Linked DNA regions of Caenorhabditis elegans. The protein of the gene in region 2 interacts with the protein of the main gene of each other region in a pairwise test. Each region holds a gene or a part of one and is shown on either strand. Other genes may lie near its edges.

Region 1 (5,296 bases), on a different chromosome or scaffold from region 2:
TTACATGTAAAAAAACCTAGAAATTTGAACTCAGCACAGTTTAATTAGTCCAGTAACTCAAAAACAAAATTTTTTTTGCCAAAGCGGACTCGAACCCCGGTCGTTTGATTGGAAGCCCGCCAAAATCCCACTGCGCCATTTGGACATGTTTCTGAAAATTATTGGAAAACGTGGTTTTTTCTAACTTTCAACAATTTTTGATATTTTTGCGGCTTTTCAGCATACTCTGACGCTCTTCTAAGCTCACATAGCTATGGAAACTTGAGCTTTAATGTTTTTTCTCGAAAAATTGACATTTTTGGGAAAGGGAAGGAATATAACACTTTCACTATGCGCCAGTTGGACCATTTTTTGTGAATTTTTTTATTTAAAAAATCCAATTTTTTCCAAATATTCGAATTTTTTAGATGCAACATGTCAACCGCAGGGCTGGTACCCACAAATATATGCTACAAAGGATACGTCTGCGGAGTGAAGCCCACTAGTCTAAATTCAACATTTTAATTTTATTTTTCAAACTTCCAGGTTCATAAACTGTTCGAGAAGCCCACAGAAGCATTTTTCTCGAGAGTTTCCGAATTCGACCTGCTAATTTTTGAAAGCAGTACCTGAATTATTGAAAACTTCTTATTAAGACTTCTAATTTTATTTTGCTATTCAAATTTCATATTTTCTAGAACTTTTCAACTTTTTGTCCGACTGGCTCAGTGGGATTTTGGGTGACTACCAATTTCACCACCTGGGTTCGAGTCCGCGCCTTGGCATATTTTTTTGTTTTAGTGTTATTTGGCTAATATCGACATTCTGAATCCGAATTTCAAGGTCCCATGCCTTAAAACTCAATGGGTTTCCTCCAAAATCAATATTCCATTGCAAAATCGTCCCTCGTCCCATATACTACTAAAATTGAAGTCAGCGTCTCGACTCTGTGCTCCCGAAAACTGAAATATGATCGCTTCGCCGCTTTCGCACGCTCCCCATCTCCCTATACTCTCAGAAATGAGAGGAAAATAAGGGAAGGGGGTAAAATCAACAAATAATATCGATTTTTTGAGAAGGTATAAAAGTTCGAAAAAATCACAAAGCAGTGTGGAAATGTCTAATTTTTGACCGAATTCGAACTCGGAAAGTCGAAATTTAGTAGAATAACACCAAAAAAAAAATTATGCCACATCGCGGACTCGAACCCCGGACCTCAGATTGGTAGCTGGCTAGAATCCCACTGAGCCACTCGTACACAAAAAGAAATTAAGTTTGAGCCGACCTAGCAAGTCTTTCTGGTTTTGAGAGTTGAAAATTCGAATTCAGGAGATTTGTATTATTCTGAGAACAGCAAAACAAAAATTCATGCCACAGTGCGGACTCGAACCCCGGTCGTAAGATTGGTAGCCGGCCAAAATCCCACTGAGCCATTCGGCCAAATTTTCAGAAAAACTTGAAAATTACGGTTTGAGCTGATTTTTCAGCAATTTCGATATATTTTTTTTTTCCAATTTTGAACTTGTTTTAAAGTTGTTCAAGCTATTGGAGACCAAGCTTCGAAGGGATATATATATATCCCCAAAATGTTGAAAATGTTATTACAAATAGTATATAAGTCAGAAATCCGTGTTCAGCAGGGCTTGTATAGTCAAACCAATAAATAAAAAAATTTATGACACAGTGCGGACTCGAACCCCGGTTGTCAGATTGGAAGCCCTCCAAAATCCCACTGAGCCATTCGAGCAAATTTTCAGAAAATCGAGGTTTGAGCTGATTTTTAAAAATTTTGAGCATTTTTTGGGACTGTTCAGCATATGTCTCATGTGTGCTAGGTGCAATGAGCTATTAAAATTTAAGCTTGATAGTTTATTTTCAATAAAAAGTTAAAAATTTGTATGTTAAAAATTCGTGTTCAGCAGGGCTTATATAGTCGAACCAACAAAGAAAAAAAATTATGCCACAGTGCGGAGTCGAACCCCGGTCGTCAGATTGGTAGCCCTCCAAAATCCCACTGAGTCACTCGTACAAAACTTTTTTTTCAAAATTAATTTTTCAGAATCCGAAAATAATGCGATTTTCCACCAAAAGGCGGAGCTCCGAGCAGACAGCCGACTGGCTCAGACATACGGTAGCTCAGGGGTGAGAGCTCCGAGAGCTCAGAGAGCCGGCAGAGAAAACGAGAGCACACACACACACACAAATACATCAGAGTCAGTCTCTCCCTGCTTCTGCGTGCCAGTTGCTCAAATTTTTGCTCAACAATTTCCAAATCTATATATCTGAAATTGTTCGCAATTCCTGAATCAAAAAAAAAATGCTTCCAGATTCTGAGGTGAGTTATATGTCGCTTCAGGGCGCCCCCGGGCGCCCGGTACCCCATCCCAAAAGTATCAAATATCGGCATGGTGATGAAACTGGAGAAAGTTCTGCGAGAAGGGTCTGTCTGTAAGATGAGCTCTTCCAAGACACCCCCCCCCCCCCCCCCCCCCCCCCCTCCATGTACCTCCTTTCCCCATTCAGTACCTAGACAGTTCTAGCTAACCTCTCCTACAATGTTCTCTGTATTTTGTGAGTTTTCTAAACCGTGAACTTTAATTTAAAAAACTCGAAAAATCGATATTTCTAATCTTAAAAATGTTCCTGAATGGCGCAGTGGGTTTTTGGACAGCTTCCGAGCAGAAGCCCGGGGTTCGAGTCCCCGCTGTAGCATTTATTTTTGTTTTTGTGTGGATGAGCTATATAAATGATTCTTGGCTTTAATTTCCTTGTAACCCAGAAAAAAAGCTCTCGGAGCTCAAAACGAGTAGAACTGCGAATTTTAATGGTACGGGGTTGGGGTTTCAGATAAAAATGTAGATTTTTAAGCTGAAATAAACTTTTTTCAGAGCTTTTACTCTTCATTTTTCGCAATTTCGAAAATTTGGTCCAAGTGGCGCAGTGGGATTTCGGATGACTTCCAATCTGACGACCGGGGTTCGAGTCCGCACTGTGGCACAATTTTTTCATTTTACTGTTTCTAGATTAATTTGAGTGCGCTGAGTTCAAATTTCTATCTTTTAAACTTCTAGGTTGAAGTTTTTTAGTAGAAAATTCCGAACTTTGTTGCAACTCGGAAAAATAAACAAATCAATAATTAGCGAAGTTTATAATCCACGTAAACAAATGTCTGGGTCACCTGGTGCTCAATGAGCACACTTATTTTTGATTTTCACTATTTTTCCAAAAAGATACATTTTTAACTAGGAACTTGCTCCGAATCGCCTTTTAAACTGACATTAATCAGAAAAATTATCAAAAATTATGATGTACATCCCTATTGTAAATTTTGGATTTTTTTTTTGGTCAATTTATGCGACTAGTTGATTTTAGGCACCCCTTAGTCTTTTTCCAATACCCAGTTGAGTCTAGATACCCCCTCACGCAACCATATTACATCATTATATAGCCATCATTAGCCAACTTGCAACAGTTGGGGGGACCCCCTGTGGTGACGGGATCGAATTCAGAGGTCTTGGGGCTCTTCGATGCACAATTTCTGTGGCAAAGCAGTAAAAAATCCAAAAATAAAATTTCGAAAATTTGGTGCAAGTGGCTCAGTGGGATTTTGGTGGGCTTCCAAGCAGAAGACCGGGTTCGAGTCCGCGCTGTGGCTTAATTTTTTTTTTTTGGTGTTTTAGACTAATTTGGGTATAGGCATGTCGAAAATTTTAGTCACGAGTCAGAAAATGGCTCAATGAGCATAAGAGATGAGTTTGAAAATTTCCTGGCGCTTATTTTTAAATTTTTAAAACCCTCGTAACTTTAAAACTAGAATAGCAAGAAAAAAGTTTCCAACCACAAAATTGTAGGAAATTTTCCAAGTAATATTTTGCTAGTTGACAACTTTCCTCGAACTATGCTCTCCACCGAGTTATGGTAGAAATCGCAACACCTGTTTGGTGGCGGGGAGCTCTGAGAAAACTCCCGCGGCTCTTTTCTTACCTGTTCGCCGGCGGTCACTTGAAACTAGATACCCTTATACCTTTTTTCCGCACCGGGCTCTTACTAAGTTTTAGGGCTTTTGGGGAACCCTCCGGGATTGATTCAAGTCAAATTTTTTTGGCCGGTTTTTATCAAAATTTTAATTTTTTCACTCATTACTTCACTGCCCCCCGGCCTAGTTATCACCTCCACTACCGTGTATTTGAACAACAGCGACATATGTAAAGCTCCTGTGCTACTGCTCGCCGAGCAAACAAATACAGATGGCATTGTTTGTGAAGCACCCCGTCCGACGCCTTGAAAGTAGTGAGGGAAGAAGAAGCTGAGAGCTGTATGTAAATGGAGTGGTGGCTCGGGTTTCGTCATTATTCCTGAGAACGGAAATTCGCAAGCTTTGGAGGGGTCCTGATGGGGTTCAGAAGTCTGTAAAAGCATTGAAAAAGAAAAAGAAAAAATATATGCCACAGCGGGGGTTCGAACCCGGGCCGTGAGATTGGTAGACGCCGAGAATCCCACTGAGCCATACGGTCAATTTTTTTGAAAATTTTGAAAATCGAGGGTTTTTGTTGGTTTGTAGGCAATTTCTCCAAATTTTGAGCTGGTTTTTAAAATATCCTGGGCTCAGTGAGCATTTCAAGATTTGATAAAAAATTCCCCGGTTTAGTATAAAAACACCTAAATAAAAATATATGCCACAGCGGGGGTTCGAGCCCTGGTTGTAACTTTGGTAGCCGCTGAAAATCGCACAGAGCCATTTGGACAACTTTTCTGAAAATTTTTAAAAATGAGGGATTTTTGCTGATTTTCAATTATTTTGTTAAGTTTTTTTTTTCAGTATATTAGCCTCATTTTTAGGGTATTCTAGGCTTAATGTACATCCGAATCAAGGGTGTCATTTTTCGATTTTTCGATTTTTTTGATTTTTTCGATTTTTCGATTTTTCGATGTTTTTCAGTGAAAATTTACTGTTTTGATTATCCTTCCCTGTGGGGGAACCCTTTTTGAATAGATATTTACAACCTCCTACAACGAAAAGGTTCAAAAATAAAACATTATCAGCTGTTTTGTAAGTTTATTTCAAAAATCGAAAAATTTTTCGATTTTCGATTTTTCGTTTTTTTCGGAAAATCGAAAAACGAAAAATTTTCGATTTTTCGAATTTGAAAAAACGAAAAATCGAAAATTTTTAATTTTTCGATTTTCTGGAAAAATCGAAAAACCGACACCCTTGATCCAAATTACAAGAAAAATATATGTTCTTTGCTAGAAATAAAGATTTCCGAGAACTTAAAATATTGCTAACTCGAAATTTGTATCCAGCAGACCCGGTTTA
Region 2 (4,155 bases):
TGAACTTTACAGTTCTGTACCTTTGCAAAAATATTTACCGCAACATATCTGAATCTCAAAATTCTGGGGCAACTTTGAAGTGCGCATGTTTAAACAAAGACAGAAATTATCAACTTCACAAGTAATAATATCTAATTTGAAAATCGGAAAATTTTCAAATAACTTTTCGAACTTCACAGCGGTGCCAGAATCTATAAATATTCTATGGATTTTCATTTTTTTTATCTTTTTTCTCCCATTTTTCACAGTCTCTATAATTTTTAGGCCATCTTGTAAGGAAAATGCGGTATAAAAAATTTGTCTATTTTTTTGGAAAACAAAACCAGGGTCATTCAATCTACATGCTGAACGGTTGTTCCCAGAAAATGTGTTTTTTTCAGAAATTGTTCCAAAAAATTGATTTTTCTCTTGTTGCTCTCTCCCTTTCTCTGCTTGTTTTTCAAGAAGAAGCTGACTGAACTACCGTAATCATGAAGAGAATGAGAGAGAAATGGGAAAAAAGTATTGAATTTCACCTATGGTCACACACAATTTCCTCTCTCGCCACCAGTCCCGTTGCTTTTCATTTCTTGGCTCCGCTATTTTACATTAGCAGCATGTTCAATGGGTGGCGGAGAAAATGGTGGTGAAGATATATGTATGTGGAGCCAATTTTATTGAGGGACTTTATTAGAAATTACATAGAAAATAAACATTATAAAGATTGATAAGAGGTACCAGCGCCAATCATCATATCATTGTAATTCATATAAAAACCGGGAAATGTTGCGGCGGCAGCTGCAGCAGAGTAGGAAGACAAATCTGATGGATTATGGAATGAATTGGAAAGTTTTGATGCAGTTTTCCGAATTAATTTCAGATCTTCTTCTTCACTAATATCTTTCAGACAATCTCTGGAATAAATTATATTTAATTTTTTCATAGCTTATAAAAATCAAATTACTTTGGCTCAGGAACTCCAGCTCTATCCCTTTGCCTTCTATTCTTAAACCAATTAGATACTTGGGTCACTGTCAGATGTGTCTTTTCAGCCAACTCCCTTTTCTCTCTTGGACTTGGATATGAATTCCGGCAATACCAGTCACGAAGAAGTACTCGAGATTTATCCTGAATCACAAAATTTTTTCAGAAAAGTATTGAATAACACACTCTAAAACAATAACTAGTCTCCTCGCCATCCCAAATAGTTCTTGGAAGTGGATATTTCCTTCGAATCCTGTATTTTCCAACAGCTCCAAGTTGGCGTCCGCGGATTTTTTCAGCTTCGTGGTAATGAGCATTGAGCCACCACTCTTGGAGAGGCAAGTGATGCTCAGATGCAAAATGATGAGATTCGATTATGCGGTATAGTTCCTAGATTTTAAAACATACATTGAATTTGGAGTAATTCTTACTTTAAAGTTATTTGAGTGAAACGCCAAAAAAGCTTGAGCTTTTAGAATATACTGATTGTTTCTCATCTCATCTCGTTCCAGCACAGTCCAAACAAATTGAGACTGAAATTTGAGTAATTGAGGATTTAGGCTTTTATTCGGACAAGCCAAATTTTTTTTTTAAATTGAGAGTATTTAGAAACTCAATTTTCTATAACATTGTAAAAATATTAAAATTGCAAAAATAGAAACAATTTAGTCTAGAATATACCGTAATTTTCCTATTAGTCTTGCACTTTTATCGCTCTACTTTAAAAGCATACATATTTATTGTCCTTGATTTTATTGAAACATTTTTCACAAGTATATGCGCTAATAATTTTTCTATATTTTAATAAATATGCAATTTTTGAAAGAAACCAAACACAACCGAGATACAACAAGGGAAACAAATAATTTTAAAAAAATCGAAAGGAAAATTCAGACTCACCAACTTCCTCGCATCATTTGACAATGCTTCACAAATGCATGCAACTTGCTCTTCGGAGTATCTGGTCGTGTCGCAACTGAAAAAGAAACAAGAAACTGAGGCGATGAAATTCCAGCAGATATCGTGTTGAAATCTGATAAAATTAAGTATCAATATCAGAAGAACATACGTAAAATGATGAGGATGAAACGATGAGGAGTTTAGTTGCATATTGCTCGGGTTGCTGATGATGATGATGCTCACACGGCGATGCTCGGTGTGACACAATGTTTGAAAACTGATAGTGAGAAGTTTTGGAAAAACGAAAAACGCGCTTTCGTTTTCATATTTCCCTCATAACAGACTGGAACAGCTGCTGCTAAATTCTTGTTGTCCAATTTTTTCTGATACAGTAAACTTAGAGAAGAAGCTTTATTTACAAAAAAAAATTAGTTGCGTAATAATAAATATTGCAGGTTGATAAACTGAAATATGGGAACAAGTGGGAAGCATTAAGGCACAAATGTCATTTTGTATTGGTTTTTTTTTAAATTTTCTTATGAAAAAAAAAATCACAGAAATTTAGAGGATTAGGCGACTTGAGAGGTTGTCATGGTAACCACTTTTTCACGGACCAGACTGATCACATTCTGATTACTGTCTTCTTTTACATCTTCGGAAGATTCTTCTTTTGTTTCATCAGAATTCTCGGTATTTTCTTTATCTTTAGATTCCTCTGCACGGGTTTCTTCTTCTTGAGCCGGCTCAGAATTTTTTGGAGTTTGAGTCTCTGTTCTTTGATCTTGGCATTCTTCTTGATCGTGATCTTCCACATCAACCTAAAGATTATTTTATCTTCAAAATTTATGGGTAAAAGCTATAATTTACCTCATCTTCACTCTTCGGCTCCTCTTCCAATTCTTCTTGCTCCCCGAGCAGTTCATTTTTTGCTCTTCTCTTCTCAACTCGCTCCATCCAACATACTTTGTCAACTATTCTGTGGAGAACTTTTCGAACTGCATAGTTATCACTCTCACGACGCGTACGATTACTCTTTTGTTTCTTCTGAAATTGAAAAATTGTTTGATTTTTTTAAAATGAAATACATTTTTCTTAAAAATTCTAAATACCTTATCCTCATTAACTTTATCTCCAACCGGCTGGCTCTTTCCTTTTCCATCCTTCTTCTGAATCTGCTGTTTCCCATTTTGATCCTTCTGATCTTTCTGACTTCCACGTCTTCTCTGCCCTCTTTGAGCCTCTCCATCGGAAGCGGTCACCTACAAAAAGCCGGAGATTCGTCGGGATGTGTTAATGAAACTTGAGAACACCTATCGGTGGCAATATCCAATGGTTGGCAGGCGGCTGGTGAGCGGTACTATTTGATGAGAGATGGTGACAGGTGTGAAATTGACTGGACGGCCAGTGATACTTATGTACTACATAAATCAAATAGGGGGATAGGTGGCAGGAAGGGGGCCCCCTTGATGTATTGATCTACTTAATTGTCATACAATATTTACATCTCATTAATTAAATTTGGCAGGCATCATCCCCGGTTTCTGTGTTTTTATCAATCATTGGTAACATATAAAATAGCCTTTAATAAGTGCCACTTTTTGCTCCAATTTATAGAAAACAGTCTGAATATACCAATACAAATGTAAAAATTAAATGACTTTTTCTAAATTTGTGAGTTTTTTTTCAAATTTCAAAAAAAAATTGAAAAAGGCTGAATCATTTTATAATTCCCGCGCAATTTAATAAACTACATAGTTTTGACATTTTTTTACTGGTTTCTTTTCAAATTCAAAATTGTACCTTTTTTTTGAAAAAAAAAATCATATTAATAAAAATTATCGATTTGTAGGCCAATTTCAGAATTTCGTTAATTTTCTTTTAGGCTATCAAGTTTTATTTATGGAAAAATGCCAGAAACAATGTTTCAAATTTTAAACCCGTTATCAAAAGAGGAATACCAGAAAATTCAAAACTAGGTTATTAATTTGCGCGGGAATTCAGAATAAGCCGTTTCATATTTTTTGCAAAATTGGAAAAAATAATAAAAAATTTAGGCAAATTCTATTAATTTTTTACAGTTATATTCGGTATATTGGGACTGTTTTCTGTTATTTTGAGCAAATATCCAACTTTTTTGGTTTAAGTAATTTTGCAAAACGTATTCTATTACACTTTATGACGTCACAATTGTACACATTTTTAAAACTTTTTTTTCAACTCAACAACTTTTTGAAATTTGAAACTTAGTTCTAAAAATCAAAAGCTTACCGAGGTTTTCTTTTCCGAATGCCC

The links.
Region 1: the proteins of ceh-33 (region 2) and eya-1 interact in a two-hybrid assay, tested with the Caenorhabditis elegans proteins (2 studies listed by BioGRID).

Annotation. Positions count from the first base shown.
Region 1 is NC_003279.8:14,228,243-14,233,538, reverse strand, and holds the start of eya-1 (Protein phosphatase eya-1), read left to right. Parts: upstream 1-2,178; 5' UTR 2,179-2,296; coding exon 2,297-2,314; intron 2,315-2,508; exon of another isoform or gene 2,509-2,550; intron 2,551-4,437; exon of another isoform or gene 4,438-4,507; intron 4,508-5,296. Other genes in the region: clec-114 (PAN-3 domain-containing protein), read left to right, coding at 408-504. UniProt on the Caenorhabditis elegans protein: Tyrosine protein phosphatase. Acts probably as a transcription regulator in the embryonic and postembryonic development of several tissues including pharynx, vulva and gonads. Required for the development of anterior tissues during late embryogenesis.
Region 2 is NC_003283.11:5,322,544-5,326,698, forward strand, and holds ceh-33 (Homeobox protein ceh-33), read right to left. Parts: upstream 2,124-4,155; 5' UTR 2,074-2,123; coding exon 2,033-2,073; intron 1,940-2,032; coding exon 1,864-1,939; intron 1,497-1,863; coding exon 1,395-1,496; intron 1,354-1,394; coding exon 1,150-1,353; intron 1,108-1,149; coding exon 944-1,107; intron 894-943; coding exon 695-893; 3' UTR 651-694; downstream 1-650. Other genes in the region: C10G8.8 (HABP4_PAI-RBP1 domain-containing protein), read right to left, coding at 2,433-2,681, 2,731-2,907, 2,973-3,122, 4,132-4,155.